2 linked regions of the Pelodiscus sinensis genome follow. The protein of the gene in region 1 binds, or shares a complex with, the protein of each later gene. Links are inferred from orthologs where the notes say so. Each region holds a gene or a part of one and is shown in the gene's direction. Other genes may lie near its edges. The genes, in order: APAF1 and CASP9.

Region 1 (15,439 bases):
GGTCTACTTTAGGACTGGAACGATAGACTACCAAAGGGAAAAAATAAGGAAATGGACAAAAATAGCATTTAAAATAAGAAAGTGTGTGAAAGACAGATTGTATGCGTGTTCTACTCAGCTATCACCAAGCTACATAACCACTTCATTGTGATTTAGTGTAAATATATTGAACAAAAAGTGCCTTCACGGGAAAGGAAATCCTTAAATTTTTTTTCACTAAGTGGTTAGCTGATTAGATGGTCAAGTTAAATAAAACAAGATAATTTGCCTTCTCAAAACTATATTTAGCAGCTCTGACACAGGGAGGGCCAAGCTAGTTCTAATTTTGTGTTAATTTTAACCACTGCTGTTGTGTTGTGGGAATGCTTATATTTCTGCTGCCTGTGACGTACGAGTTCTGTGGATAAATAGATTTTATCCTACAGGCTCTTAGTTCAGGCTCTTTCAACTATTACTTATTTTAAACAAAAAGAAAAAAGTTAATTGAAATGTCCCTGTATAATTGGCACATGTTCCAAAACATAGCAAAAAGCTGGCTCAAACAAAAGAATGTGTGCTCAGTAAACAGTCATACAGCAGGAAGGAAAACAAAGGGAGTTCAAAGAGATGGGAAAACCAGCATGGACTAGCCTTACATGTTAAGGTGACCATATTTCCCGAAGATCACCTTACATGCATGGGACTGTTCTACTGGTAACATGAATCTGCCAAACTCCCAATCACAGCTGTCGCTTATCACTTGAACCCTGCTGGCCCCCCTGCTTGAAGGCTGCTTCTCATTGCTAGAGCCCTGCCTGCCCCCATTCACTTGAGCACTTCCTCCCTTTCCCCTCCAGCTCAGCCTCCCCCCTGCAGAGTACTGGCATCTCTGCTCACTCTCTGCATATTCCTCCACATCACAAATGAGACAAATGCTCTCTTTTACAAAAAAAGTTAGGATGGCTGGGGCAGGGCTTCAGAAAGGGACTCTAATGGACACAATGGGACATGTCTCTACACTGGGAGTTAAGTTGATTTAAATGTGTTGCTCAGGAGTATGATTTTCCACCCCCTTAGTGATAGTTATATCAACATAAAAGACGGCAGTGTACTCCAAGTCCTGAATTTTAGCTGGAAATGTTTTCCAACATGGAGACTGACATTATATAAAGGAGAAGAAATGCCCCAAGAAATTCCCTACTCCCTTCCGCCCCCTCCCGCCCACAGCCATTCACAGCACAGGAACAGATATACAAAATAGCCATTAAACAGAAGAAACGGTCCTGGCCTGATAAGTTTGGCCAGTAAGGCTATTGAGGGCACGTGATGAGAAAAAACTATGGTTTGAATTTAACCTAGTTTGTAAAGTTGGACATTAGTTGCATTTTATCTTCATTTTTCTTGTAACCATTTCTGACTTTTATGCTTCATTACTTCGTTTCATTTAAAATGTATCTATTTGTAGTTAATAAACTTCTTCTGTTTTATTTAATCCAATGTGTACTAAGGATGTAAAGGAGTAATTGAGTATATGATTAACCAATAAACCTAGGCTTATTGGTTAATCTTCTTGACTACTTATTTCCTCCTCCCCTTGCTGCCTCTGATACAGAGGTAGCAAAGAGCGGGGAGAAGCAGGAGAAAGTCTGCCTCTACATCCCTGCTGCCTCTATCTGCTGCTGGGCTCTTACTACAGTAAAACTCCATTAGTCCAGCATCCAATGCTCCGGGACTCCTGATGGTCCGGCACCATCAGGAACCCGGAAGTGCTGGGGCAGCCGGACAGGCTTCCCCCATTCAGCTGCTGCTGGAACTGACCGGCAGCTGAATCGGGGAAGCCGGGAGCAGAGCAGCTGGGGTGCTGCTAGGTTGGTCTGGTAGCGCTGCCCCTCGGGGCTGCAGGGCCAACCCGGCAGCACCCCAGCTGCTCTTGGGGACTCCTGGGGCAGAGCAGCTGGAGTGCTGCCGGGTTGGTCCCGCAGCCCCGAGGGGAAGCGCTACGGGACCAACCGGGCAGTACCCCAGCTGCTCTGTCCCAGGCGTCCCCAAGAGCAACCGGAGTGCTACTGGGTTGGTGCCGTAGCGCCGCCCCTTGGCACTGCAGGACCAACCCGGCAGCACCCCAGCTGCTCTATTGCAGGCATCCCCGATTCAGCTGCTGCTGAAACTGACCAGCAGCGGCTGAATCAGGGACTCCTGGGGCAGAGCCTGACTATCGTAAGGGGGGGCTATGAGGGGTCTGGGGTGGCATCCCCTCCCACCCCACTCCAGACCCCTCATAGTCCCCCCCTTCTGATAGTCTGGCATATCTGATAATCCGGCACCCCCTGGGTCCTAAAGGTGCCAGATTATCGGAAGTTTACTGTACATTTAAAATGCAGAGGCGCAATGTCCCAGACTGCTCTGTCCTGGCTTGCAGTGAGTTCAGTAGCTCTTGTTTGCAGCAGCTGCAGGCAGAGAGGTTGCATCCCCTCCTGGCTACCTCTTTTAAGCTGGCTCCCTCCAGCACTGGCTCCTGTTTCTCCCCCTTACCGTCTCTGAGAGGGAGCAAAGGGAGGGAGGAACGAGTAGTTGATTCTCCCATTGACTACCAGATAAGCTTATGCTTATCAGAGGCATCAGCACAGGTTGTGGCAAGCAACTGGTGTATGCACAGAGCTGGTTTTTTAACTGGCTCCCCTTGCTGACCGCCTCCTGTAATAGAGGCAGCAGCAAGGGATAGATAGCAGGGGACTCCTTGGGAGTGGGGCCAGGAATGCACTGGCTGCCGTCCCCGGAGACAGTAGAAAGTTGAGTAACCAATAAAAATTCATGTGGTTACTCGACTATCCGAGCAGTTCCAAACCGTTGGTTCACGAACCACTGGCTGCAGTAGCAGCTGCTGGAGCTGAAGACAATTGTTCATGGTGGCTGATTTTGCTTGGTGGCGGTGCTGGGGCTGAGGGAGCAGCAGGCAGAGAAGGAAGCGCTTTCCTTCCACCTCCTACCCAGGTAAGATGGTGGCCCAGTCGGGGCTCCATACTCCCTCCACCTCTACTCATGGGGATGAGAAACATGCTTGGGAAGGGGGAGCAAAGGAGGAATAAGTGTGCATGCCACCAATGGCCGCTCCCTCTGCCTGCACGGCAGCAATGGCTATGCTCCCTAGAGGGGGAAGCCTTGCTCTCGGGAGTGTGGGGGTGGGGTAGGGTCATGGTGTGGGCATGGGCTATAGAGGTCAGAAGTTAAAGGGTTAAATGGCATAGGGATGGGGGTCAAAGGGTGTCAAGCACTGGGAAGTAAGAGGCTGGGTTGGGGCTAGGCGGATAGGTAACATTTTATTTGCATATTTACATATTCATTATTTGCATAATACACACACATACATACAAATAAAATGTTACCGGTCTGTTGAAAGTTTCTGAATGGGTTTGCTGGTCCATGATATAAAAAAAGGTTGGGAACCACTGGACTGTTCTATTACCTGCTATCTAACATCCCTGCTGTGTATAATATGAAGTGTCTGACAAATTATTTGAAATAATAAGATATCATATTTTTATCTTAAAGAAATAACAGACTTATGATACTTGTATTGTCCAGGAGAGGGCCAGATGATGCAGGAAATATATTTCTTGGAGGGGGGGGAGGGTAAGATTAGGAATGAACGGGGGTGACCTTGTACTATAGCTTAGACCAGTGGTCTCCAACCTTTTTACACCCAAGATCACTTTTTAAATCTCAGAACAAGCAAAGATCTACTGCCCCACCCTTTCCCAAAGACCCCACCCCTTCCTTGAAGCCCTGGCCTCTCTGTTCTCCTCTCCATCACTTGCTATCCCCAGCTCTTATACACTCTACACTGCCACTTTTTTCCCCAATTCTTATGTAGGAAGAGGTTTTTCCAACATTTGGCCTGTCTAGACTGGACCAAATGTTAGAAAAACCCTTTCTTTTTGAATTCCCCTTATTCCTCGTGGAACGAGGAATATAGGGGTTACCGAAAGAGCATGTTTGCTCTTCCACTAAAAAAAAAGCAGAACAAATGCATCCTTGGATGCGGAAGAGTTTTTCCAGGATGTCTCCTGCAGTCTAGCCGTTCCCTCACTGGGTTGAGACAGGATGTGTGGGCTCTGGGGTGGAAATGAGGGATTTGGATGTGGGAAGGGGTGAGAGGTGCAAGCTCTGGGAGGAAATCTGGATGCAGGAGGAGGTGGAGAAGGGGATGCTGGCTCAGGGGGGGAGCTCCAGGCTGGGGAGCATTGGGGTAAGATGGAGGGTTGAGGTACTAAGCAAGTCACAGGCTCATGGCTGTGAGGATGCAGGAATTTGAGTTGGGGTATGTGAGGGCTCAGGGCAGGGGGTTTCAGTGTATGATAGGCTCAGATCTAGGAGGTGCAGGAGTGTGGCCAGATGGGGGCGTGGCCCCAACTGGGTTTTTTTTTTGGCCAGGCTTCATTTTTAAATAAAATACTATGTTAAACACAAAAAGTTTCTGCATTGTCTTTATTTATGCGAAGGGCAGGGAACCTATTTTGAGTCAGGGGGTCACTGACCTACAGAAAAGTCGGTTGGGGCCACACAAGGGAGATGCCAAAAAAAACCAAACCCTCCTCCCAAAAAGACCCCAGGCCTCACTAATGTGGCCCCAACTATGCTGGTGGGAGCAGGGGACATGGTACTGGGGAAGGGTGCTAGTGGGTGCTGGGGCAGGGGACAGTGTGCTGGGGTGGGATCAGGGTTCTGCAGCAGGGGACAGGGTGCCGGGGTAGGGGACAGGGTGCCAGTGGGAGCAGGGGACAGGGTGCTGGGGTGGGGGCAGGGTTCTGCAGCAGGGGACAGGGTGCAGGTGGGGCACAGGAGAGAGCGACAGGATGCTGGGGGGAGGGGATAGGGTTCTGCAGCGAGGGACAGGGAGTCCCCTTCCCCAGCCTCCTCCAAGGACTCCCCTCCATCCCGCCCCGCAGAGAAGGAAAGCCCCCGCGCATGCCTACTCTGGGGCCGACACCCCCTCCTGCAGCGCAGGGAAGCCCCTGTGTGCCTCCTCTGGGGACTCCCCCAGGCAAGTTCCCGGCACGCCAAAGAACTTAGGGAGGGGAGCAGCCAGTACTCTTCCGGAACACCCAGAAGTGGTGCGAAGTTGTAGGACTTCCATCCACCTTGCGGGAAGCCGGCACTACCTCCACTTTCACTGCAAGTAGGTAGTGGGGCTTCTTGGGGGTGGGGAGGAAGTGGGCGGGGCTCAAACACCATGCGATTGACTGGTCGAGGCCTCACAACCTATCAGTCGATCGTGATCAACCAGTTGGTGACCACGGGCTTAGACTGATAAAGAGTCAAGATGTGGTAGATTGGCTGCAGTTCACACACAGGCATAGCTGTTAGTAACTTACATGTTAGTGGCTGTTTGAGAGCAGTCCATAGTGGAGGCTATAGCAGCAAAGCAGTGTAAAATGCATCCCAGGTTAAAGGGCAAGGGTAAACACAGCTACACATTAATGTACCTTGAGTATGACACTGTGTAAATGTTATAGTCTTAATACAATGAAATTGCAGTTGATGGCATGTAGGCAACCACCACTACCACCATAGGATGAAATGGGAGACAACGGAGAGGGCACTGTCAGTGAAATAAATTTAATTTGCTATTAACATCTCAATCCCAAATCAAGATAGAAAAAGTACAGATAGTCCAGGGATCCTCTTTTTGGGATCAATTTAAGTAGAAGAATTTTTTTTAACAGAGATCTATTAAAACAACATACAGCAATTAAAGAGAGAACTGAGTCCAAAGCATCTGTAATAAAGGACTGTTGAAACTGAGGTCTGGAGCAAAAACTAAGAAAATGTAATTTATACCTATCCCACATGTGCCAATTTAAGATGAACTAAAATTATACAGTTTTTATTCTTCTAATCCAGACAATCCTGTGACCTAGTCAATGATTATTTGAGTGAAATTCTATTCCTACTTAAGTAGAAATTTTGCCACTGACTTCACTGGGACCAGTCTTCCACCCATAGATTATACAGTTTGTAATTTCTAGCTAGAACATATCTGTTAGAAAAAATGTCCAGTTTTGATGTAAAGAATTCAAGTGGTGACGAATCCACCATGTCCCTAAGTAAGTTATTTTATTTTACCAACACTGTAAATAAAATAAACAATGCCTTATTTCTAGGTCCAATTTCCAGCTTTGCCTTCCTGCTGCCATTGGATCTCATTATAATACCTTTGCTTACTAGATTAAAAAACTCTCCACTACTGGAAATCTTATCCACATATAGTTACTTAGACATCATGATCAAGTCACCTTCTAACCTTTTTGTTAATCTAAATAAATTGAACTTCTGTAGTCTCCCACAGTAAGATAGGTTTTCCAGACCTCTAATCATTGTGATGACTCTTTTTGGAGCTCTTCCCGTTTGTCAACATCTTTTTAAAATGGCAAACACCAGAAATGGACACTAGTCTACTAATGCCATATACAATTCCATTGTATGTGACAAGGAAAAAAAATCAGAGAAAGTAAAATTTAAAAGTGTGAAACTGTCTATATTAGGGATGTGAAGGTTTAACCGGTTAACTGGGAAGCCTCATCCTTAATAGATGAAACAAAAAACAGGACTATGTAGCACTTTAAAGACTAACAAGATGGTTTATTAGGTGATGAGCTTTCATGGGTTCTACCCACTTCTTCAAATCAAATAGTGGAAGAAAATTGGCACAACCATATATACCAAAGGATACAATTAAAAAAAATGAACACATATGAAAAGGACAAATCACATTTCAGAACAGAACGGGGATGGGGGAGGGGAGAGGTAAATGTCTGTGAGCTAATGATATTAGAGGTGATAATTGGGGAAGCTATCTTTGTAATGTGTAAGATAATTAATGTCTTTGTTTAAACTTAGGTGTAAAGTGTCGAATTTAAGCATGAATGACACTTCAGAGGATTCTCTTTCAAGTGTGGTCTGAAAAGGTCTTTGAAGCAGGATGCAGGTAATCAAGTCATTGAGACAATGTTCTTTCTGGTTGAAATGGCAAGAAACTGTTTTTTCTTTGTGATCCTGTATAATTTCTGTTTTGTGAGCATTGATTCTTTGAACAAACGTCTCAGACACTTCGCCAATGTATATAGCAAACGGACACTTTCGGTACACAATACCATACATTATATTTCTGGATGAGCAGGAATGTGTGTTCTTGATCTTATAACTCACTTGGTTAGGTCCAATAATGGTATTAGCAGAGTGAATATGTGGACAAAGCTGGCAACGGGTTTGTTGCAAAAGAAGGTACCAGGGTTGGTATTAGTGTGGTATGTCCTGTATGACCATATAATTTATGCTATCATGTGCCGAAAGTGTCCGTAAGTGGTTAACCAATATGCTTAACTAGTTAGCAAGTTAAAGAGGAGCTTACACCCCTAGTCTATATCCAGAATTACCTTTAAAGGATTACTTACCAGGTCAGCAGTAGACAAGCAAAAAGTGAAAGTAGGTTTAAGACTGTTCGCGAATCTATCCAAAAGGAACTCGGGCTATTTCTTCCACTTCTGGGATTAGAGAGCATTCCATAATTGCTCTGCTTCTGTGGTTCTTCGTTATGCTTTGATGAAGGAACAGGTTTCTTTCTTTGCTTCACATCAGACATTTTAAGAATATCTTTAGGAAACAGAAAGCAAGCAGAGAGCTAGCAAAAGAAAGCAAAATGAGTTGTTTAGTTCCTTCGGGTATGCCTACACTTGCACCCTCTTTTGAGAGAGGGATGCAAATGAAGACATTCGAAATTGCAAATGAAGCCGGGATTTAAATATCCCGCGCTTCATTTGCATATTCACATTATGGCAGTATTTCGAAATAGCACTATTTTGAAATAACAGCCACTGTTAAGATGCGGTTATTTCAAGAGAAAACCCTTCTCTCGAAATAATCGGTAAACGTCATTGTATGAGGAATAAGGGTTATTTCGAAGAAGGGTTTTCTCTTGAAATAACCGCATCTTAACACCGTCTGTTATTTTGAAATAGCACTATTTCAAAATAGCACCATAACGCGAATATGCAAATGAAGCATGGGATATTTAAATCCTGGCTTCATTTGCAATTTTGAATGTCTTCATTTGCATTCCTCTCTCAGAAGAGGTTGCAAGTGCAGACATACCCTTCCAAGTTAACACAGAGAATTCCCAAAAATGCACTTAAGCAACTGCACTCAACATTAATTGCTTGATATTTATTCAGTTATATTAATCATTTTCAAGAATTTGTCATAACTATTCAGTTTTCCATTACATGACCATCATCTTCCAAACTTTCAAAGAAATGGTCCAATTCTTCATAGCACTAAGCCCATAGATTTAATTTAAAAAAAGAAAAAGAAAGCTGATTCCACATAAGCCGATGGCAATTGTCCAGGAAAACTTTCAACTACTCAGGATGCAGAAGCAATTGGAGTTTACAAGATGTTCTTAAGATTACTATGCCTAAAAGAGATATGAAAAATAAACAAAACATTTTTCCAAGACAACACTATCTTTCACGATTTCTCATGTTTGAGCAACTAATCTGTTGCTTTACAGTTGAGTCTTTCACAGCGGAAAAGGGGAAAAGAACCTGGGATAGTGAATCACCTTGGGAGGGGGAGTGAATGTTTGTATTATAACTTTTAAAATATGTCCGTTCATAAAGCCAGGTTCATTAGTTACTATATTTTTCAACCTTCAAATGCAAATATATGTAAATGACTTAAAACAGCTATTTTTCCTGTTTTGTATTAAGCACTATTTAGGGAGTTTTAACAGCTTTAAGAATCCTTGCCCTGTAAATACAAGAGACAAAACAATAATAAATTATAAACAAAATCTCATTGTTCAACAGGCATTCTACCGTAATATAGTCCTCGCTCTATTTAGCGGCGCACAACGCTTTACCGTATGACCAAATGAACATCTATGAGATGAAGGTTGAGAAGATACGAGAGTTATTAACACGAACGCCAAGAAGTGCATCAGGCATGAACAAAAAAAAAGATCCCCACCGCTCAGACCCGACTTTCTTTAAAGCCGTTAAAAGTTGCTTTGGGCGGAGCACTGGAAAACTCCAAGGAAAACGAATTTCGGAAGGAATGTTAAAGGCGACTTAAAACGTTTTAAGGCGGACGCAACCCGTCGGCCTGAGGGGCGCCCCCAGCCACACGCAGGGGGCTGAGCAGCGCCCCGCAAATAACGGCCACCCCGCCCGTCACCTCCTCAGGATCTCCCATCGGCAGCCCTGCCCCCCCCCCCGCCATCGCTCTCCCGATCGCCTCACCCCGTCGCGCGCCCGTTCCCGGTACCTGCAGCTGGAGCCAGGCGCGCCACCCTCCGCTTCAAACTCCTGCCCTGCTGCCGCTCCTCGCGGGCTCGCGCGCGCCACGTCAGGCGCCTGCCCCGCCGCTCGCGCCCCGGCACCCAGCGTGGGCGGCTGTGCGCCAGCGCGAGCCCAGCGGCTGAGGGTGGGAGGGGCGGGAGGAGGCCGTGGCTTTGTTCCGCGGTCCTGGGCGCTGGGGGGCGGTGTGAGCGGCGCGGCCGCTCGCCGGGAGGCGTCTGTCCTGCCAGCCGCGCCGCCGCCCAGCCTCGCGGAAGGAGGAAGTGGCAGCTGGTTGCGGGGCGCCTCTCCCCGCGCTAGCGGCGCCGAGCCTGACTCAGACCCGCGAAGGGTCCGAACCTGGCTCGTGCTAGCGACCGGCCTCCCCGAGACCCTGCTCCGCGCTGGCTGCCGGTTTCTGCCGCGGCCCGGTAACCGCGCGCCCCAACGGCCCTGGAGAACGGCGCGGGGGGAGGCGCGGGGGCCTCGCTGAAATGCCGCGGGCTCTGCGGGGGGGGGGAGGTGTCTGTCTCCCTTCCAGCCCCCCTCCCTCACTCGCTGCCGCTCTAGCGCAGAGGGTTTGTGCGGCGGGGGTGTGAAGCCCACGAGCTTCTTTTTCCCATTGGTGCCGGAGCTGTGAGACCCCCGCCCATGGGAGCGGCCCCCGGCCGGGGAAAGTTGTCCGGTGCGTAAAGTTTCGTGTCTAATTTCCACCACTTGCCTCTAGGGGGCGTCGGACCCTCTGCGTGGCCGGAGCTTCTGCCGTCGCCCAACCCCCCGGGAGTGCAATGAGGTAGGGTCTCGCTGGCACGTGCTTGCTGAGGCTGCGGCGTGGCTCAGCTATACCTGGGAGCTCGCCTTTGTGATTTTTGAGGCTGGAGGTGCTAGTAATAAATAGGCAGTTTTCAAGCCCAAGTGTTCGGTTTCTGCCTGCTGAGCTGCTGCTACATGGAGATCACACAGCTGTTGCTGCCATCATGTGAGATAATGTAGAAAGACTCATCAGTGCCACTTTCGATAATGCATTTGAATTCTGTTTTTATTTTGGAGACAGTTTTCCTTGGCTGGATGTTTTTTTCAGTCCTAGTTTTATTTTAGCTGGCGCTGTACTTCATAAATAGATTATATAATTAACCTTTGTGGTTGTCACTTGCAAGAATATACTGATAGGGTTTTTGGCTGCCTTCAGTGTCTTTATTATACATGAGAATGAATAAGAACTGTTTTGTCTTTATCGGACAGTTTTGTGTTCTGTTTAGTACATGCCTGATTCCTTACTTAAAGGCTGATGTAATAGGGAGATCTGTCTCATTGGGGAGACTTGGGACATAATTGTGTTTTTATATTACTCCTTAAAATAAGTAGATTAGGCCCAACATTTTGATTTATGGACTGTAATGATTTATTTTAAACACTCCTTTGTATTGAAAACCAAAGAGTGGTACATTGTATTAGTACAGAGGATCCTAAAAGAAAACAGAACTTGCCAGAGCAGTCTGGATCAGAGCAGACCACTGATTCATTTACTTTTGTACTGCTGTCTCTGATTGAAAGTGACCAGAGCCAAATGTTTCAGAGGAAGTCTGAAGAAGCTTCATATTTCTTGGGGGAATTTTGTGCCACTGTGCATGTGCAGAATTAATTTCCCTTGCAGAAACTGGTTACCTGATAAGCATGGCAGTGAAGCTAATGCTTACCAAGTAACCAGTTAACTGTTTAACCTTTAACATCACCAGGGCTTGACAAATGGCTGCGAAATCTGCTCACCAGTCCCGCACTGCACATGCGCAAGACCCGCATGCGCGCGCTGTCGGTGAACGGGACAACTGGCTAAAATCTACTTACCATAGGCGAGTAGATTCAATGATTTGTCGAGCCCTGAACACATCACTAATTCTGACTGGGAAGCAAAAGGAAACTGAGAGAGAGGTCACATGTCCCTCTCCAGCAGCAATGTCAAGCAGGCATAGCAGAAGCAGCCAGGAGAGACATAAATCACTGCCAGGTGGGTGGCTGGGCTAGGTGAAATTTCAAGGCTGTCCCTTTCACTTGCTGTTACAGTGCACCTGGTTCAGAGGGCTGGGGCTCTAGTGTGTTTCTGGAGCATGTCCAGTGCTTGTGCTGCATCAGGGTAGGGTGCAGCCTCACCAGTGAGTTTGTCCTGAAGGGAAGGGAGGCTTCAGGGTGATCCCAATCTTCATGCAACCAGTGGCTTATGCTCCTGTTGGGAGGCAGGTTTTGCGCACACCCCTTGATCGTGTTGTGCCTGCCCTGCAGAGGCATGGGCAAAGAGAATGCACTATGGGGAAGTTGTAGGGTGTCTTGGCCAGGAATGCCATTTAGGGAGTGCAGGGTGCCCAGTAGTGGTGGAGGACCTTAAGGTACCCTATGGTGCAGTATGGTGTTGGAGTTTGGGAGGAGGTCAATGTGGTGGATTAGAAGAGTCAAATCTCCATAAAAGTAGAGGTGAGATCATAGGGATATGCCCTGGGGAAAGGGACAGTGAGTGTGGGAGGAGTAGCTAGGGGTGCTGCATATTTTCGATGTTGGTAGGGACAGCCTGACTCAGAGCCCCTGTTGAGCATACTCTATCCTGGGTTTGCAAGAGCTGAACAAGACTTTGTTAGAATTTTTTCCTGCTGCTGCTGTGATGCTAGGCACTGGAACTGAGAGCGGAAGATAGAGTAAGCGATAGAAGATGCCTTCTTGCTAGCACACAGCCAGCATTGCACTGGAGAAGGAAGCAGTCTGACTTAGATGCAGTAGTGGGTAGAGGAGTTGGAGCAGGAGCTGGGGGCTCAGATAGGAGTCTAAAGGTTGGAGAGGGCATCGAAGGAGCCAGGCATTGTAAGAGAATAGGGAAGATAGCAAACAAGACATGAGTCATAATTCTTTCACTGTATTCCGGGCTGGTTAGACCTCACCTGGAGTATTGTGTCACATTTCAGGAAAGCTGTGTCAAATTGGAGATAGCTCAGAGAAGAGCAGCAAAAATGATTAAATGTCTAAAAAACATTATCTATGATAGATGATTGAAATAATTGGTTTTTTTTAGTTTGGATAAGAGAAAACTGAGAGGGGACATAACAGCTTTCAAGTACCTTAAATGTTGTTGAAAGGAGGAGGGGAAAAAATTATTCTCCTTAACCTCTGATGACCGGATAAGAAACAGTAGGCTTAAATTGTGGTAAGGGAGGGTTAGATTGAACATGAGAAAAAACTTCTTAACTGTCAGTGTTGTTAAGCATTGGAATAAATTACCTACGGAGATTGTGGAATCTCCATCGCTGGAGATTTTTAAGATCAGGTTAGACAAACCCCTGTTAATGATGGTCTAGATCAGCGTTGGGCAACCAAGAATAGGGAGTGGGCTGCATTAATGGCCCTCCCTTCACTTCACTGGGCTGCAGTACTCTGTGGAGCATGCAAATCTGATTCACATTTTGTCCTCGCTCTTCCCCCTCCCTCCCAGATCTGGAACAGCCACAACCAGCTTTGAAGAACTGGGAGGGAAGGGAAGAAGTAGGAAGTGCAGGGTTCCAGTGCCGCTGTGGGAGAGTGGAATAGACAGGGTCTGTAGACTGCAGGTGAAGCTCCAGTGGGCTCCAGGTTGCCTAACACTGGTCTAGATGGTGCTTGGTCCTGCCATGTGTGCAGGGAACTGGACTTGATAATCTCTCAAGATTCCGTCCAGTTCTGTGATTCTGTATTAGGAGCAGGAGACAGGATTTATAAGGAAATAGAATGGGGGTCAGTTAGAAGTTAAGTAGGAGTTGTGTGGGTCGCAATGGAGAAAAGCAGGTGAGAAGTATAGGAGCAGAAGGGAGGGATAGGGACAGGTTGTAGGGACAAAGGATATGTAATAGGGATTTGAAAGTGTAACCGTGTACACAGTTAACTGATGAGCCTAGATTAATTGGTTAACCTTTATGGTTACCGGCAGGCTTCTGGTATGTGTAGGGAGCCTGCGTACATTGCACAAACAGGCTAAACTGAAGTTACATGGGTAATGATGCTAGCATTTTCTAGCATTTTGATGCTTGTGTTTGCAATCTTAATATTCTTCTAATGTAGTTTTTTTAAACATAAAGCTGATCCATGTTACATCTGTGCCTTAGCGAGAGCTTTGCTGCTGCCTAGCTTTGTGTTCAGCTCCCTCACAAATCTGCTTTGCTAGCAAACTCATAACGACTCTACTAATCCAAACCTTGTATTGCAAATAACAATAAGAAAACCCCAACTCCTGAATTCTGTAGAGGCATAGCTGCAAAATCTAGTTCCTCTCACTGGGACACTTCTGTAGGGCTGGCTTGCCATGAGTATTTGGGAAAGGGTGAGGCCCCAGTCCTTACTTTTCCCCTTCTGATGACCCAAGGAAGGGTATAAAGTGTGCGGAGAGCAAGTGAGATGTAAACATGTATGGTGGTGGAGCTTTGTGGGAAATTCTGCCTTTACATACTGATGCTTTGGTATAATCTAGCTGTGCTCTCAGCAAGCAGTGTATGTGAGTAGCTTTTCCAGGGACTTGCCTGGGCAAGTTAGGCAACATTGGAAAACAACTAGTTGGTGAAACTTGACAGTTTTGAACTCTTGTCTTTGGGGAGACTTACTCAGTTATGATAAATAACTCTTTGTATGGTTCACTGCAATATTTGAAAAGTGCCTTGTCCTTGAGACATTATATTAATTGGTATATGTGTCAAAAACATCACTAACTTGTTTGTTTTTCCTCTTGAAAAGTTAATATATATTTGATTGCTAAAAAATGGGAACGTCAGTTGATCTGCAAAGAATTTGTGTATTGAACATTGTCTAATTTCACAATTAAAATATGAAATGTCTCAATTTCAATCATGCTTTAAGTACAAATTTAAATACAACTTTAATGGCGGAGCCACTTAAGTGTCCCAATTATACATAATTTGGCGTGTAGTAGGAGTGTGTTCTTTTTGATAACGTGAACACATTATTAGGGTTTTTGGGTAAGATTTTGAATATACTGGTAATGTTTCACATTTATTGTACAGTATACTTCTAAAATCCAAACACTAATACCTGTCTTTCATTTGCCAAAAAAAAAAAGAAAAGCTACTTACATGTGTTATACTATAAAACAGTGTATTTCAGTCTTTCCGGAATAGTGTATCCCTTTCATGAGTCAATTTATCTTGCATCTCCCCAAGTTGCAACTCACTCAAAAATTATTTGCTTTCAAAATAAAATATAAAAGTACAAAAGTGTCACAGCACACTATTGCTAAAAAAACTCCTTACTCTCTAATTTTTACTATATAATTATAAAATAATTGGAATATAAATATTGTATTTACATTTCAGTGTATAGTATATAGCACAATATAAACAAGTCATTTAATTTAGTTTAGTTTGATTTTGCTAGTGCTTTTTACATAGCATGTTGTAAAACTAGCCAAGCATCTAGATGAGTTGATATATATTTCTGGTTGAGAATCACTGCTAAAGGAGATGATGATAGAGGATTTCATTTTGTTTCCTTAATTTACAGGCAGTCTCTGAGTTACGCGAATCCGACTTATGTTGGATCTGCACTTACGAACGGGGCTTTTCTCGCCCCGGAACTCGCGGGCGGCGGGACCACCCAGACGCGCAGTGGTCCCGCCACCGCGTCCTCCAGGGCGAGAAAAGCTGCTCGGGGTGTCCCTGGGGGTCCCGCGCCTCTGCGGCTTTGCTTGGGGTGTCCCTGGCCTGCTAGGGACCCCTCCCAGCAGACCAGGGACACCCCGAGCAGACCAGGGACACCCGGAGTAAAGCCGCAGAGGCGGCGGAGTCCTGTGCCTCCAAGGCTTTGCTCCGGAGCAAAGCCGCAGAGGTGCGGGACCCCACCACCTCCAAGGCTTTGCTCCGGGTGTCCCTGGTCTGCTGGGGACACCCCCCCCCCCCCCCAGCGGACCAGGGACACCCGGAGCAAAGCCGCAGAGGCGCGGGACCCCGCCGCCCCCGCGGCTTTGCTCCGGGTCTCCCTGGTCTGCTGGGGGGGACGACGCAGCTAGTGCGCCACCCCCCCCCAGCAGACCAGGCTTTTGTTGTGGACGCCTGGGGTAGAGCAGCTGGGGTGCTGCCGGGTTGGTCCTGGGGGGACCTACCTGGCAG
Region 2 (15,552 bases), on another chromosome or scaffold:
AGTACCATTCCTGGTATAGCTCAAAGAGCGATGCAATGTTCATACTGCAGGGCTGAACATAGTAGCTCCTGACCATGCAATAATCCTTGATGGTATTTTTAATGACACAGGCACTAGGAATCACACTGCAGCAGAAAAGGAGACAATCACTGAATTTAGAGATGGAAGAGACTCCCCAGATTGCATCCCGATCATCCTCTTCCTGGGCAGGGTTTACTAAAGCCTCGTTTCATCTAATTCCAACTACCTCCAGGGATGGGGCTTTCACCAACTTCCACTGACCCAGCCATACAATTCTGAAGTGTTTTCTCATGTGTTAAGCCTACATTTCCCTTGTCTCAGTTTCACTGATGAAGACTGGTTTTAGGGAAAAAAAGAGACCAGTGCTCCCTCCTCCAACTACACTGGAAAATAAAAGAAATAAATCCATTCACTGATAAACCACAAAGGAATTCGGTGGCTGAATTCACATTCAAACACAACCCCAGAAGCTGAAGTCAATTGCCACAGCCTAGGATGGAAACTGCTGAGAGAGCCTCTCCCTGAAAACACATTGCAGCTTGAGTTTTTTAAATTTGCTTCTCTTACCCAGCATCTCTAGCTCCTGAACAGCCTCCTTCCACACAGGCTCAATGTGGATACAGCTGAAGCACCAATCCGAGGTTATTTTAATGAGGTAGGGCTTTTTGAAACTGTCCGGCACAATCTCGTTCACATAGTGCGAAAAATGCAGCAAGTATTTCTCATCAGAGGAGTCTCGTCTCTCCGAATTAAATGGGAAGTGGAAAAAGGATTCATCAAAGTAAAAGCTTTCATGGAAGTGATGGAAGTGGTGGTGCTGCTGCTGTTGAGGGTACCCCTGATTTTCACCCACGTCTCCATAACGATCGAAGTTGGATCTCTTTTCCTCATTGGAGAGGATCTGTCAATCAGAGTTAAGAAGATTGAAAAGAAACAAGGGCTGGCTGGCTCATACTGAATGAGAACTAGAAGGATGACAATTCCCCTTCTTAAAATAACTGAATGGCAATAAGGAGCAGACATACTGGGAAAAGGAATTCCTGTTGCTGAATGTCTACCCAATTGAGCTCCAAGAAAGGGAACTGTCATATCTTGTCTCTGTAGCAAAATCCATTTATGTGGCATGGCGTGAAACAGAGCTCACATGAAGAGACAGAACATTTAGTTGGAGAATTCCAGCTTCCTAGCTCTGACACTGTATGTCTTCCAAATTCTTTTATTATTTCAGTTTCTCAGCTAACAGGCCATCAAATTGAGTCCTAAAACAATCATAGTCCAGCAGACTACTTTGGCTTTCTCACAATGTCAAACATTTAACAGTCAAATGAACTGGGAGAGCTGATATGCTCAGGTAAACAAGCAGAATTTGCAGCAAAAACTGTCTATTGAACTGGTAGAGGAAAATTCAGATTATTCCTGGGGACTCAGCATCAGAGATGCAACATGCTGCAGTAGCTGATTCAGTGAGGCTTGGACGAGTGACCTGCAAGTGCTACTTATGCAAATAATGTTTTAGAAGTGACTAAAGCTTTCAAACCATTAAACCCACTTACAACATCACTGGAACGTGCACAACAAATACAAAGAGATGGCACCAGCCTGCTCTGCTAAGCTCAATGGACACTCCTTACTTTTTGCTTGATGCTTTTCAAGAATCAAAAGATAGAACTTTACATTTATTCTTTCACAATATTTCCAATTGTGGGATGTTCATGATTTATTGAGATTAATTCACATCTGAGTATTAAATGGATAGCAATTTTTTTAAGACTGCAGCTATCAGCAACTTTTTTTTTTCTTCAAGAAAACCTAGACAAATTCCACCACCCAACCCTTCCATACACAGAGCCGAGAAATTGTTCCATGTAGACATAACAGGAAAATAGTAAAGGCTACTTGTGAAAGATGAACAGCACTTTCCAGACTCTAATATACATCCTAAAAACAGCACAAAGTTACCAAATGGTGTCCAATACCTCATAGGCTTTGCTAATTTGTATAAACTTATCTTCTGCTCCTGGGTCCTTGTTTTTGTCAGGATGCCTACAATGCAAAAATACAGAAAATGGATTTTATCCTTTAGAAAGCAGCAGCAGTTTATCACAGAAAGGCAAAAGTACGCCACTAGGGTTGTCAGCTTCAGTGCAATACTCCTATTAAGCAGGATATGTAGACATTAATGCCATTTACTGGTATCTACTTCTTAATTTGTCTGATGTTTAAAGCAGATTTATGGCAAAAGTCTATTTCTCCCACACAGGTTCTACATAAAGAATTTCAACAGGATTTGAGTGGTGTATGTGGAAGCATTTCCTCGGTTTCCAATTTTGTTTCATAAATAAATGATCCAAGTGGAACTAAAAACTAGATTTGACACCAGGCAGAAAATTCCTTCAGCAATAATCCTACCAATTTCAAAGATACATGCACTAGCTGCTGCCCTATATATATTAGGCACAGCAACTATTTGGTATATTTGCAATTCTATTCTGAATCTTAATAATTTTCTTGTATAATGCCTCGGTTCTGAGAGACCCCTAAAGCTACAGATAAGAGTACAGATAATTTCCAGATACCATACAATAGCTCTCACCTTCAGCGTTAAAACAGGTCTTATTGTGTGGTCATAATTTGAGTTAGTTTAATTCACTTCTTTTCAGAAACCTCAAAAATTTGACTAAAAAAAAAAAAATCACTGACTTGAAGCTGGCCATGATCAATTTTTTTAGATTGACTCAGTTGAGTTACTAGCTGGCTGTGAGGAGCACATGTAACTAATTAGCACATGTGACCAGCCTGTGTCAATGTTCCCTAATTTTTCCATATATATATATATATATATATATATGCGGAATAAATATGTGCACCAAGGTATGTGTGGATGTGCAACACCAATAGAAACACATGTTGGTGGCCGTGGGCATTCTGCTAATCAGCTGGGTGGTATTTGAATTTCTCCAGGGTAGCTGCCCAGGTGCACAGCTTACAGGGAACACTGGTGAGTGTTACTCAGTAACAATTCCTATGACAACCCTAAAGATATAGTACAGAAGTTATTTAAAGCCATTTGCTTCTTAAATTTCTGCCCTCAGTGATTCTTCTAATATGTTATATTTTGTAAAGTACAAAACAGGAGGGGGGGAGTTTCATATTAGACCTTCCAAAGTCTGATGCCCAGAGCATTGGATGAACTGGAAGAAAATGCCATCAGGAAATATTACAGCATATGCAATATGCACTAGTAGGTATAATTCAGGGCCAGATCCTGCAGTTTGCATTGACATGTGTAATCTTTCATCTTGTGAATAGTCTCACTGAAGTTGACAGGTCACTGGTGCAAGGCATGTGGGAACAAGACTCATATACAGAATTTAGGGTCTGACTGACCTTTTACATAGAATACACATACAAACAAGAAAACTAAACATTACAGGTACAATTCCAGAAACCTTATTTGAGTAGTACTTACTCACAAAAGAGGTGCCATTGACTGTAATGATACTACTCATTGAAGTAAGTATTTCTCACTATCAGGCTGCAAAATTGGGCCCTTTATTAAGAAACACTGTACAGTTTTTCTTTAAAAGAAAAAAAGTTTCTTCCTGCTCAGCAGATACATTTACCTGAAAACTATGGGGCAGCTCTTCAGATGGAATAAATCAGTATACTTACATTGTGGATTTACAATGAATTACACCAGCTAAGGCTCTTGCTCACTAGTTATAATATGGTTTTACTGAACATGGTAAGAGCAAGTAGACTGTCAGGGTAAAATGGTTATTGTATAATTTTAAATGTCTTTGTTTTTATTTTGTAGATGATGCTTTTTCTCACAAATATTTGGTGCACTCATCAAAACAGCTGACTCTGCCTTGCAGAAATCATTTAATATGCAATGTATTTTGAAACACCTACCATTCCCGGGCAAGCTTCTTATAAGCCTTTTTAATATCAGCCTGGCTGGATGTCCTGCTGACCCCAAGGATTCTGTATGGATCAAAATCCACTGCAGATAAAATTTGCAGGACCAAGACCAGAACCAGGACCACAATCAACGAGATGCTTAATTTTTTCAGTTCCATTTCTCTTCCTTTAGGCAACCTGGACAGAAGAGTTTTCGCATACATAAAACAGAAGTGCAAAACTAGGGGTTGATGCAAAATCTATGTACCCCTTTATTTAATCCTACACCAGTGGCAAAACTGCAAGACCAAAAGCCCCATTTCCTTCAAACAACTAGGACCAGAATTCATCTCTTGGATTACTAAAAAGGTAGGATTTAGTAGGGTCTGTTCTTGCCCTTGCATGTGATGATCATCATATCATTCCAATTATAATTTTGCTTCCCTGTGTAGTTCAACATTTTAGTAGCTTCTATCTTGAGAACTCTACAGCAAGACACTTGTGCTTTATACCTAATAGGAGCTCACTACCAGTTTTCAGGTATTAAAAAGCAATAAACAATAGGGCTGTCTAGACTGGCAAGTTTTTCCGCAAAAGCAGCCGCTTTTACGGAAAAACTTGCCAGCTGTCTACACTGGCCACTTGAATTTGCGCAAGAACACTGACGATCTGATGTAAGATTATCAGTGTTCTTCCACAAATACTATGCTGCTCCCATTCGGGGAAAAAGCCCTCTGCGCAAATGTATTTGCGCAAGAGGGCCAGTATAGACAGCTCAGTACTGTTTTGCGCAAAAAAGCCCCAATAGCAAAAATGGCGATCGGGGCTTTCTTGCGCAAAACCGCATCTAGACTGGCACGGACGCTTTTCCGCAAAAAGTGCTTTTGCGTAAAAGCATCCATGCCAATCTAGACGCTCTTTTCCGCAAATGCTTTTAATGGAAAAACTTTTCCGTTAAAAGCATTTGCGGAAAATCATGCCAGTCTAGACGTAGCCTAGCTGTTTCTGCCATCCCATTATCTAAAGTCTTTTATCAGGACTAGCAGAGACACTTAAGAGACCAGTACACTTTTCAAAATGCAGTAATCATTACTATGTAGTAATCAGAAACCGAAGTCTTTTGATGGCTGACAGTTACATGGGACCATGTTAGTTGAAGAGACAATGCCACCTTGAATTTCTTCTTGAACCTTTTTTTCCCCCCACCTGATTCCCTATTATAACTGGACTTTTAATAACTCCATTCATCTGATGAAAGCTCATAATACCATCTACATGTTTTGTTAGTTGTTAAGGTGCTGCTAGACTATTCCTTGAACTCCAGTCAGTTCAAAAAGCATGTTAGAATATTTTTAGTTATTACTCCTGCCCCCCCATGTTGTTCTTTTTTATCCATATTTTCCTATTATAAATAAAAAACCCTTCTCTCCTAGTTTCAGAATGTGATCCTATGGCTAAGCGCACAATGGTAGCAGTGAAACTGACTACAGAAAAGCTGCCATACACATTATTAATTTTTTTTATTCTTTCATTTTGTTTAATCTATTACCATTATCTTGAACACTACTTGCAACAGCAAGGGAAACCATTTACAGCTGTGGTGAGATTGTTAAACTAACAGCGTACATAAGTTTATTCACAGATGTTATTTATAACACATTACGAACAGGGGAAAGATTTTTTTAAATCCAGCTTTTCACTGTTTATGCTTTTTGCTTATAGGCTGCATAGTTCACATCTTGAGCAATGACGGTAAGTACAGTCCATTTTACCAACAGGTTCTCAGAGCTACCATCACTGGTCTAGCGGGGGGGGGGGGGGGTTGTTTAAAGAGACACACGAGCACGGAACACTGAAAAAAAAATCCTCTCACCCCCCCCCCCCCCCCAGTATTTCCCAGCTCTTATAGACTCTCATGGGTGTGAAATGTACATTTGGGGGCACGTGTCATGTGACACCCCCCAGCGCTTGACATCCCAGCCTGACAACGCGGGGTACCCCAGGCCGGGGGTTGCGGTGGGAGGAAGAGCCGGGAACCCCGCTCGTTTCTGCGCCCCGTGCTTCCCGGCGCTGCTTCCCAGCAGGACCCCCAGCCCCCCACAGCTGCCCCCCCCCGTCACCGCCCATCGGGTAGCCCTGGCCACACCCCAATGCCGCCCCCCAGCAGGGCGCCCCGACCATGCCAGGCCCCAGGCGCCGCTCGGAGCCCGGGGCGGGCGGGCGAGACGGCCCGCGGGGAGGGTCCGCCCTAGATCACATGTCGAAGCCCCTTAAAGGGGCAACGCTCACCCCAGGCTGGGACCCCAATGAGATGGGGGGGGGCGATACCCACCCTGTGCTCCGGGCGCCCGGTCCCCGCTTCCGGCTTCGCCGCCCCGCCTCTCAGCCGTCACCATAGAGACGCCGCTCGGCTCACTTCCGCTCTCCGCTCCGCCCGGTCATAGAGACGCGATACGGGCTATAGAGAAGCGCGGCCCTCCAAGAGCTAGCGAGTCCCATCGCGCGGAGCATGGCGGGATACAAGCGGAGACGCAGGTGGGAGGGGCACGGCCTGGCGTGGGGAGGCATTGGCATCCCACCACTCAGGCCTGGGGTGTGTCGTGGTGTCAGGCTGTCACTGTGGCGCTGTGTCATGCTGTGATGTCATGTCATAGCAGGGGCGCTGGAACAATTGTGTGTGAGGAGGGTGTGCGTGTGGCTGTGCCTATGCAGACAGCTGCTGAACCCAAACTGCATAATGGAAGCCAAGGGTGTGGGAGCACCCCTCGCTGCTGCACTTGTGTCATGGTGTCAGCCCACGTCAGTGGTGCTGGGTCACCATGGGATGTCACCTCATGGTATCAGCCCATGTCAGTGGTGCTGGGTCACCATGGGATGTCACCTCATGGTATCAGCCCATGTCCCCATGATGCCACATCACCATGTGACCGTGTTGTGTCAACCCATGTCACCATAGTCACAATGCGATGTGTCCTGGTATTAGCTCAGGTCAATGTAGTGCTGCATCACAATGTGATGTTGTGTCATCATGGTGTCAGCCTGCATCTCCATGGTGTGGTATCACCCTGTGGCTTCTTGACCTCACGATATTGTTTCTTATCTAGCCCTACTTTCTCCCCCCACTTTTTTCTTGGAGTGGTAACTGAATTAAAGGGCTTGACCAGCTAGATGTAGGTGCCAGTCCTCTCCTATCCTCATTAATTATTCTAAATAGCCTGAATATATTCGCTTACACACACATGTATGGGTCAATTAGTGCAATGGCAAGAAAGAACACACACTAGGGTCCCGCTGTGCCAGTGGAAAGCCAGTAGAACCAACAGGCTTCAGCACAGTTACTTAAAATCCACACCAATGCGAGAGTCCGTGCATGGAGGGGAACAAAGTAATGGTCCCTCTAGGCCGGTATGGATCCATGCCAGCTAGTCAAACAGAGGATAGTGACACACAGAACTGCTGTTAGCTGTGCAACGCTCCCTCATGGGGAAGAACTGTCTATTAAAGAGGGGGAGTAAATACAACTGAAATCCATCTAGCGGAAGGGCAATAGGGGCTCTAAAGCCCGACAGAGCCGGTAGATTCTTTTCGGCCCCTATGGACAGTAGGGAGGGTGTTGTGAGGGAAGCTGCTGTAAAAAGGGAAGGACAGGCACAGACTGTAGCACAGCCCCTACACGCGGTAGGGCTCAGGGGCGGTCCCTATGGGCTAAGGAACCAAACGGGAGGCCCCTATAGGAGGAGAGGCCTAGGGGAAAGGCGGATCCTATAGACCGCTCCGAAGGGGGCCGGGCTGAGGACGGTTCCCGGAAACAGGCGGAGCATCTCGGCCGTCTCCAGTTTCCCCTCCCGCGGGACCCACCGGAGGGGGTCCCCGGGGTGGCGGGGATGGAGGAGGCTCAGCGGCTGCTGCTGCAGAGGAGCCGCCTGCGCCTGGTGCAAGAGCTGCAGGTGGCTCCGCTCTGGGACCTGCTGCTGCACAAAGGAGTCTTCACCCAGGACATGATCGAGGAGATCCAGGTGGCCTCCCCTACCCTGGGTCCGCTGCTTCCTCCGCACCCGGGGCTGCATCTGGGGAGCTTCTGTCCTGCCCCGCTCCATCCTCCCACCCCCGCCGTTCTGCCCTGGCTGTCGCCACCCCCACCCTGCTCCTGACTTCCTCCTATCCCTGCTCAGCCCCCTCCCCCTTGCTCTGCTCTAGGGTAATTCATATTTACCCCCCCCCCCCCAATAACTAGAGACTGCAGTGTAGAAAAGGGGGCGGTGTCTCTTCTCCCTCCCTTCACATCAACACCCATCCAGCCCCCACTATCGCTGGTGGGGTTGGCACTACCCCCTTCGGCTTCCTGGTGAACTCTCCTGAAATTAACCAAGCAGCCACTAGATGCCATTGTCGGGCTGCGAGCTGCTGGGCCTGTAAACATCTGAACTTTCACAGCCACTGGAAAATCAAAATTTCTGGGTAGCTCCCTGGATTTCTAATATCTCTGCTCTGGGTTATTGCTGGAGCCAAGTTGCAGAGCTGCTGTGAATTTGAGCTTTATGACTTTAGCTGGAAGAGCAACTGTCGGAATGAAAGTGGCATAATTCCCTCCTCCCCACCCCAATCATGGATGAAAACAAGCCAAGAGAAGCTCTTTAAGGCTGGGGTTAGTTTGTATGATACAAAACCAAGCAACTAAAAAGTTATGTATGATACAGTAGAACTTGTCTCATCTTGTGGGAGCCAGTGATGTCTAGTGATTGGAGTGGAGAATGGATCAGATGCCCTGGGTTTTATACCCTCACTCTACCACTAACTTTCTGTCTGACATAGGGAAATGTCTCTGTACCTCAGTTTCCCCACCTATCTCAGATGATAGTACGTGGGTGTCTAATAGGCAGAGTCTTGAGTTTCTCACCAGAGGCTGATGTGGAAGATGGAAGGGCCATCAATGAGTTATGGGGCTTGATGGGGCACGAGAGTTTCAACCACATCTGTGTATAGGTTTTTCCAACAGCAGTTGAATAGAAGTGATATAATTTTTAATACTGTCACTGCCACCTAGAGTTTCTGAAAAACAGCAGTGAAATGGCAGAATCTTCTTCACTCTGCTGACATTTGGACATCAGTAGGCCCTGGAGTTGCCTGGGTACAGACTAAAAAAGCTATACTTGATTAGTTTATGTTCTGTTCTTTTCCTTGCCCTCTCATATTCATCACTGTGCTATTTAGAAATGCTGGACCATTGGCATGACTTGTGCACTGGATGCTAATGCTTTCTGTCTTGGTTTTGCTCCCTTATAGAGAGCAGGCACTCGAAGAGACCAAGCGAGGCAGTTGGTTACAGACCTTCAGACGCGAGGGAGACAAGCTTTTCCTGCATTTGTCTCAAGCCTGCAAGAAACTGGACAGGATGACCTTGCTGCTTTGCTGAGTGAAGGATACAAATTCCCACAGTTGTGTCCAGTTGATATAAAACCAATTAAAATTGGCTTACGTGGTGGAAAGGGTGATACATGTGAGTAGTGGTGTTATTTTCAGAATAAACAAGCAAAATTGGATTCTGCAGTTGTAAGCTCTGTTGCCAGGCAGGTACAGACAGGAGGCTGCCTAACAGCTTGTAAAATCTGATCGTCCACATGTCTTCCAGAATCACTGATTGTATAATCTCAGAGGGGTAGCTGTGTTAGTCTGTATCTTTAAAGATAATGAGTACAGACAGTCCCCGGGTTACGTACAAGATAGGGACTGTAGGTTTGTTCTTAAGTTGAATTTGTATGTAAGTCGGAACTGGTACATATTGTAGGAGAAACTCTAGCCAAACATTTCTCCAGAGCTCAGTTTTATTCTCCCACATCTCACTTCCCTCAGTCCTTTATTCTCAAGCTGAGGTGTCTGCTGAGAAAAGCCGCTCCGCGTCTCCCTGGTCTGCTGGGGAGGGAGCGCTAGCTTCGCATCTCCCTGGTCTGCTGGGGGGAAGCAGCTAGTGCGGGGTTGCCTCACCCCGTTTGTAAGTAGGGATCCGATGTAAGTCGGATCCATGTAACCCGGGGACTGCCTGTAGTCCTGGCACACCTTAGAGACTAACACATCATATATTAGTTCATGAGCTTTCCTGGGTAAACCCACTTAATCAGATAAGTTGAAGTGGAAAATACAGAATCCAAGGTATGTATAACAACAAAAGCAGTTTCCAGTCAATTGTAGGACTTGTGATAATGAAGCTAAGGCTATGTCTACACTGGGAAATTATTTCAAAATAACTTATTTTGAAATAGTTATTTTGGGAGTTATTATTTCAAGTCTATAGGAAGAATGGTCACTCAAGGCCCAGATGCCTTCTACCTTTACAGATGTGAAGGATCCTGAATATTTGCCTGCCCCAGTCCGAACTGTGACTGAAAGATGCCAAGAGCCGGGGCGTCCCAGTGTAGCGTCTCAAGGTAAGCTGTCTCTGCTAGTCAGTTATTGACTTACACCCTGTCTGTCCTTCATTCCTTCTCCTCTCTCCCCAGACTTCATGAAGGTCCCTTCAGCCCATCTTCTTCAGGGATGCTCAGGGTGGCCAGCATACTGTGCCAATCCTCCTCCTGGTTGTAGTACCCTCCGGAGCAGTGGTGGGTTGGAGTGCCACCTGTAGCCCATTGGGGTTCCACCTGTGGCCTGTGCACCCCCTCTCTGTCCCCTTCCCCCATGTGCCTCTTGTGCACTGGGGCAGTGGAGCCCTGCACTTACCTACTGCTCCCCCTCCCTCCCAACACTTTTGCAGTGCTGTGAATCAGCTGATTCGTGGGGGTTCAAGCTCTGGGAGGGAAGGGCAGGAGCAGGGACGGAGCACAACTCAGCAGATTCATGATGCCCCAGAAGTGCTGGGAGGGAGAGGAAGGAGTAGGAAGTGAAGAGCTCCATGCGTGAGAGGCATGGGGGAAGGGTCAGAGAGCAGATGCTGCAGGTGAACCCCAATGGGCTACAGGCTGCCCATCACTGGATTTCAATCTTGCGATCCACTGAGTCGAAGGAGAGCCACTCATGCGACCCACTCACTGCCTTGGTTGTCAGTCACTGCTCTGGAGTGTATCTGTGCTGCTCCATAATTCCTCTGGAGGCACTTTCTCTGCCCTGCACCTTCCTCTGCCCTGCACCTTCCTCTGTCTGCAGCCTTTTGCCAGAGGCTGGGCTGATCTCACTGCCTACACATTGTTCCCATTCCCTGCCCATCTAGGTGTCGCTTCTGAGCCATTCTGATTTTCTCCTTGTGTGCAGGGACTAGCAGCCACCTGCAGCTGTTTCCTTCTGTTGAACGGGTATCTCCATGTATTCTTACTTCAATCACAGCCATAGTGTTGGTCCATGTTTCTGGCTAGTGGCTAGGAGCCTCTGAGCCATTAACTGAACTCAGAAAATACCAAGATTAAAACCAGATTAAAAACAAGACTCTGTCGTGACTGATCCATCCACCAAAGTTCTGAATAATGGGAGAGGTGCAGCCATAAGGGATATAGTACGATGTACAGTATTTGTTAATTTGAGATCTAATTTAATCAATCTGAACAACCAGATGCCACCAGAACAAGTTGGAGTTGTACCATGGATTGTTACAGAGACTTTTCTAGGCCAGGCTAGTTTGCCTGTGTGTGAGGTGGTAAGGCTCTTGATGATTTCCCATCCAATTCTCTTCTGACAAGCAGAGCTCAAATTTATGACTCTGTGGGCAATACTCTTTGAGTATGTCTACACTACAGTGTTATTTCGAAATATCTAATTTCAAAATAGTTATTTTGAAATATCTTATTTCGAAATAACGCGTCTACACACAAAATGCATTTCGAAATACCTTTTTGGTATTTCGAAATAGCGCATCCACACTGATTGGACGCTGAATCGCATTTAAGGCCAGCCGGAATTGGTTCCAGTGGGGCATCAGGTCAGAAGTTACCTTGTGGCCAGGACAGTCAGCAGGGCACCCTGGGAAGGGCTGGAGGCCCCCTATTTCGAAATAAGTGTCTACACAGCGCTTGTTTTGAAATAGCAATTTCGAAATTGGTGCAATTCCTCGTGGAATGAGGATTACTAATTTTGAAATAAGCCCTCCTCTATTTCGAATTAATTTCAAAATAGCAGTTGGCTTGTGTAGGCGCTAGGAAAGTGATTTTGAAATAAGGATTGTTATTTCGAAATAACTTTGCTGCATAGACATACTCTTTGACTGGCAGTATCCAAAGCCATGATAAATGAACCTCCAGAATGTCTCTCTCAATGTCTCCAGTAAATGAACAATCAGATAATGAAATATTACTTTCCTGTGTGTGGCTAGGAATAAGGAGGCATTCAGGTGTGACTGAATGTATCCAGAAATAAAGTGCATTAATATTAATCCTTTTAAGCAGGGACCTAACCCTCTAATGAATGTGCGGTAGATAGTGGAGCTGTATGTCATTTCTCTCTTATCATGTTATAGGTTGTGCTGAAGACAGATCCAGGAAGAACTCAGATATGGTTAGTATCTTGTTTTTCTATACAGTATTTTTACTTATTTCTTACCTGAACCACCTCCTTTTTCTCCCCCACCATCACCCACTTTGAATCCCATTTTTAAAAGGACTTAGGCTCTTAAGACTCTGATCTACAAAGGTATTTAGGAGTCTAAAGGGAAGACAGGTGCCTAGTGTAATTTTCAAAAGTATCTATGCAGATGAGTTGCCTACGTTCCATTGAAAGTCTATGGGAGTTAGATACCTTTCTCACTAAGGTACTGTTATAAATCTTGCTAGGCACTTGACATCATTTCAGGTGCCTAAATACCTTTGTAAGATTCTGTCTATACTAAAAAGGATATGTCAGTGTAATGGGCTAAAAGACTTTTCATCTGGTACAGCTTATATCTGTTTCCCCAATTAAATAAGCTATAACAGCAAAAGGCCTTTTTCATGGGTATAACTGCATCTGCTCTAGGGACTTTGCTAGCCCTAGAACATTCAATTATGGGTGTGATTGTCCTTCCTCTCCCTAACCCAGGGATGGACAATCATTTTTACTGGGGTGACCACACCAAAATGTTGGTAAGTGGTCAGGGGCCACACTTTTCTATGGAGGAGGTGCAGGGTCTGGGACGGAGGCAGGGTGCAGAAGGGAGCTATTGGGGTGAAGGAGAGAGTGTAGGGTCTGAGAGGGAGTTTGGGTGAAGGAGGGGGTTGTGACCTGGGGCAAGGGATTAGGGTGCAGGAGAAGATTCTGACCTGGGGGAGGAATTCAGAGGGTTTAGGTTATGGCCAGGGCATTGGGGTGCAGCAGGGGGTACAATGTTGGAGAGGGGGTATGGATGCAAGTGAGGACTCTGGTCCTAGGGTGGGATATTGGAGGGGGTGCAGGGTCTGGGAGGGAGTTGTGACCTGGAACAGGGGGGAGCAGAATGCAGAGGGTTTGGGTGGCAACCTGAGGCAGGGAGTTGGGCTGTGGGAGGGAGTGAGGTGCCAGATGCTGGTTCTGGCCAGGAGGCGCTTACCTAGGTGGCTCCCTTCCAGCAGCCCAGCGGGACCTGCAGGGACCACACCTGAGGATTCCAATGGGTCCCATGGGAGCCAAAGGATTGGTGGGCCGGATCCAGTCTGCAGGCTGTATTTTGCTCGCCTCTGCCCTAACCAACAGTGCTATGCTGACACAACTTTTGAGTGTCAAGTAGGCCTAAATCTGTTCCTCAGTGCCAAAGTTAAAGGGATTTAGGTGCTTTTGAAATTTTTTGTCTGCAGTCTGGTAATTTATATTGTGCGTATTTACAGTTTATTTGACTCAAACAGTATTGTGTTGTTTAAAAGATAAATAATTACTAGCAAATGTGACTTTGATGTCCAGGTGTCAGATCTAGCATCTGAATGAGTCCTGCTGCTTTGACGGGGCTAGCTCAGTTCAGATTAGATCAATTGTCACACCACCCTTACTCCTCTAATGGCAACATAAATATGACCAGCCACATAGCCAAATATTTTTCCCTTAGCAATTACTATCAAGACAACTAATAATTAACTCGTGCAACACTTAGAGTGTGCTGTATTTGTATAGTGGGTATTTTAGGTTTGTAATTATAGTGTGAAATATACTAAGATAAACCCCTCACTAATGGAAATGTACTGCGCACACGAATGCAGCATGATTGTTACAACTGAATATAGTACCATGAATGCAGACCTATGTGTTTAGTAAAGTGGAGGCCAAGTTCATCCTTGTTGTAAGTCAATGGAAGTTAATTTGGCCCTGTATCCATTTCAATCAAGCCCTGATTTTGCTGATCCCATTGATTTCAATTGGACTGCATGAATAAAGTAAAGCTAGATGTGCTACATTATCCCAGTAGTTTGTATTCACTCCTTAGTGGTGTGTGGATCCCATTCTCCACCCCTCATCCTGGGCAAATAATACATTGAATTCACCGAAGCAATCCAATGAGCTTCATGAAAAGTCGCATTTTTGGTTCAGAGTTGCATCCTGCTGGATTAGCCAGTGGGCACTGAATAAACGTAGGTTTAGTTCAGTCTGTCTGCTGACTGCTCCCCTGTGGCGACATGTGCCAGGTTTATGTTCTGAAAGCTGACCCGTGTGGCTACTGCCTCATCATCAACAACGTCAATTTCATTGAAACGTCTGACCTGTCTTCTCGAGAGGGCTCCAACGTAGACTGTGAGAAACTGGAGAAGCGCTTCAAGTCACTGCACTTTGATGTCCTCATCCGACAAGATCTCAAAGCTCAGGTAAGGGTGGAAGCATCTGCCGAGAGGCGATGGCCTAAGAGCTTTTGCTGCAAGCGGAGGTGTGGCTGTAGCACAGACAGAGCATACCCATGCTAGCTGTAATCTCACTAGTTCAGATAACAGTCATACGGACATGGCAGCATAGGCTGACTGCCTGTGTACATGTCCTCCAGCAAGTCTGGGACATTCTTGGGTGGCTTCAAATCCATAACACCACATTGACACTGCTCCCATTATCCATGCTAGCTAGATCAAAGCTGACATTGTTGTACCTACCTCTGGTACAATCCCATGTTCATTTGCAGTGTAGACATACCCTAACGGTGTTGCTATAGGGTGACAATGTGTGCTCTGATGTTAAAGCCACATTTCCCCCCCACCCCAAACTTCAGTGTTCGAAGAAACAATCATCTTGTCTTTTACTGCTATAGGAACAGAACAAACAAGAACCCTCATGATTTGGTCTCTCGGGGCAGAGTTTTTATTCCTGAAGATGATTTATAACTAATTGTCTAAGGATGTATCTCTTTGATACCTCTGACTTAGCTTCTCTCATATTGGGGTACCCAGGAGCTCAATTTTCTGTTTGTCTTGTCTTATAGAATGGTTGATCTTAAGTAGGACATTCAATCTCTTGGAGCGCCCATTTCTACCCAAACAAATGTGTTGGATTATTTATCAATCTGAGGCAGTGCATTGGTTGGCCTGGATGCACTGCCTTCCAGTTGTGATGCATTCGGATCAAACACAGAAGTGAGCGTGTCCTTTACAACAGCAACATGCAGAAGAAATCTCTTTGGTTCAACAGTAAATGTGAAGTAGCAGGAGGTTGCAGTGACTCTCTGAACGTGTTCCATATAACAGTGGCTCATTGTCCCACGTGCAGAACAGAGGGTGGGACTCTGTG

The links.
Region 2: the proteins of APAF1 (region 1) and CASP9 are in contact, whole or in part, in a crystal structure (PDB 4RHW), measured with the Homo sapiens proteins. The link is inferred for Pelodiscus sinensis from reciprocal best matches to the Homo sapiens genes APAF1 and CASP9. Residues at the interface, in NP_863651.1 of Homo sapiens: Thr22, Ser23, Tyr24, Met26, Asp27, Ile30, Ser31, Ile37, Glu40, Glu41, Arg44; in NP_001220.2 of Homo sapiens: Asp23, Trp26, Asp27, Leu30, Arg36, Pro37, His38, Glu41, Gln44, Arg45.

Annotation. Positions count from the first base shown.
Region 1 is NC_134711.1:83,306,507-83,321,945, forward strand, and holds the start of APAF1 (apoptotic protease-activating factor 1), read left to right. Parts: upstream 1-9,486; 5' UTR 9,487-9,996; intron 9,997-10,038; exon of another isoform or gene 10,039-10,104; intron 10,105-15,439. Other genes in the region: inhibitor of nuclear factor kappa-B kinase-interacting protein-like, read right to left, coding at 7,431-7,629, 8,897-8,915. UniProt on the Homo sapiens protein: Oligomeric Apaf-1 mediates the cytochrome c-dependent autocatalytic activation of pro-caspase-9 (Apaf-3), leading to the activation of caspase-3 and apoptosis. This activation requires ATP. Isoform 6 is less effective in inducing apoptosis.
Region 2 is NC_134733.1:10,349,749-10,365,300, reverse strand, and holds the start of CASP9 (caspase-9), read left to right. Parts: upstream 1-7,691; 5' UTR 7,692-7,808; coding exon 7,809-7,940; intron 7,941-9,207; coding exon 9,208-9,421; intron 9,422-10,256; coding exon 10,257-10,346; intron 10,347-12,361; coding exon 12,362-12,399; intron 12,400-14,468; coding exon 14,469-14,645; intron 14,646-15,552. Other genes in the region: DNAJC16 (dnaJ homolog subfamily C member 16), read right to left, coding at 589-922, 1,998-2,064, 3,937-4,103. UniProt on the Homo sapiens protein: Involved in the activation cascade of caspases responsible for apoptosis execution. Binding of caspase-9 to Apaf-1 leads to activation of the protease which then cleaves and activates effector caspases caspase-3 (CASP3) or caspase-7 (CASP7).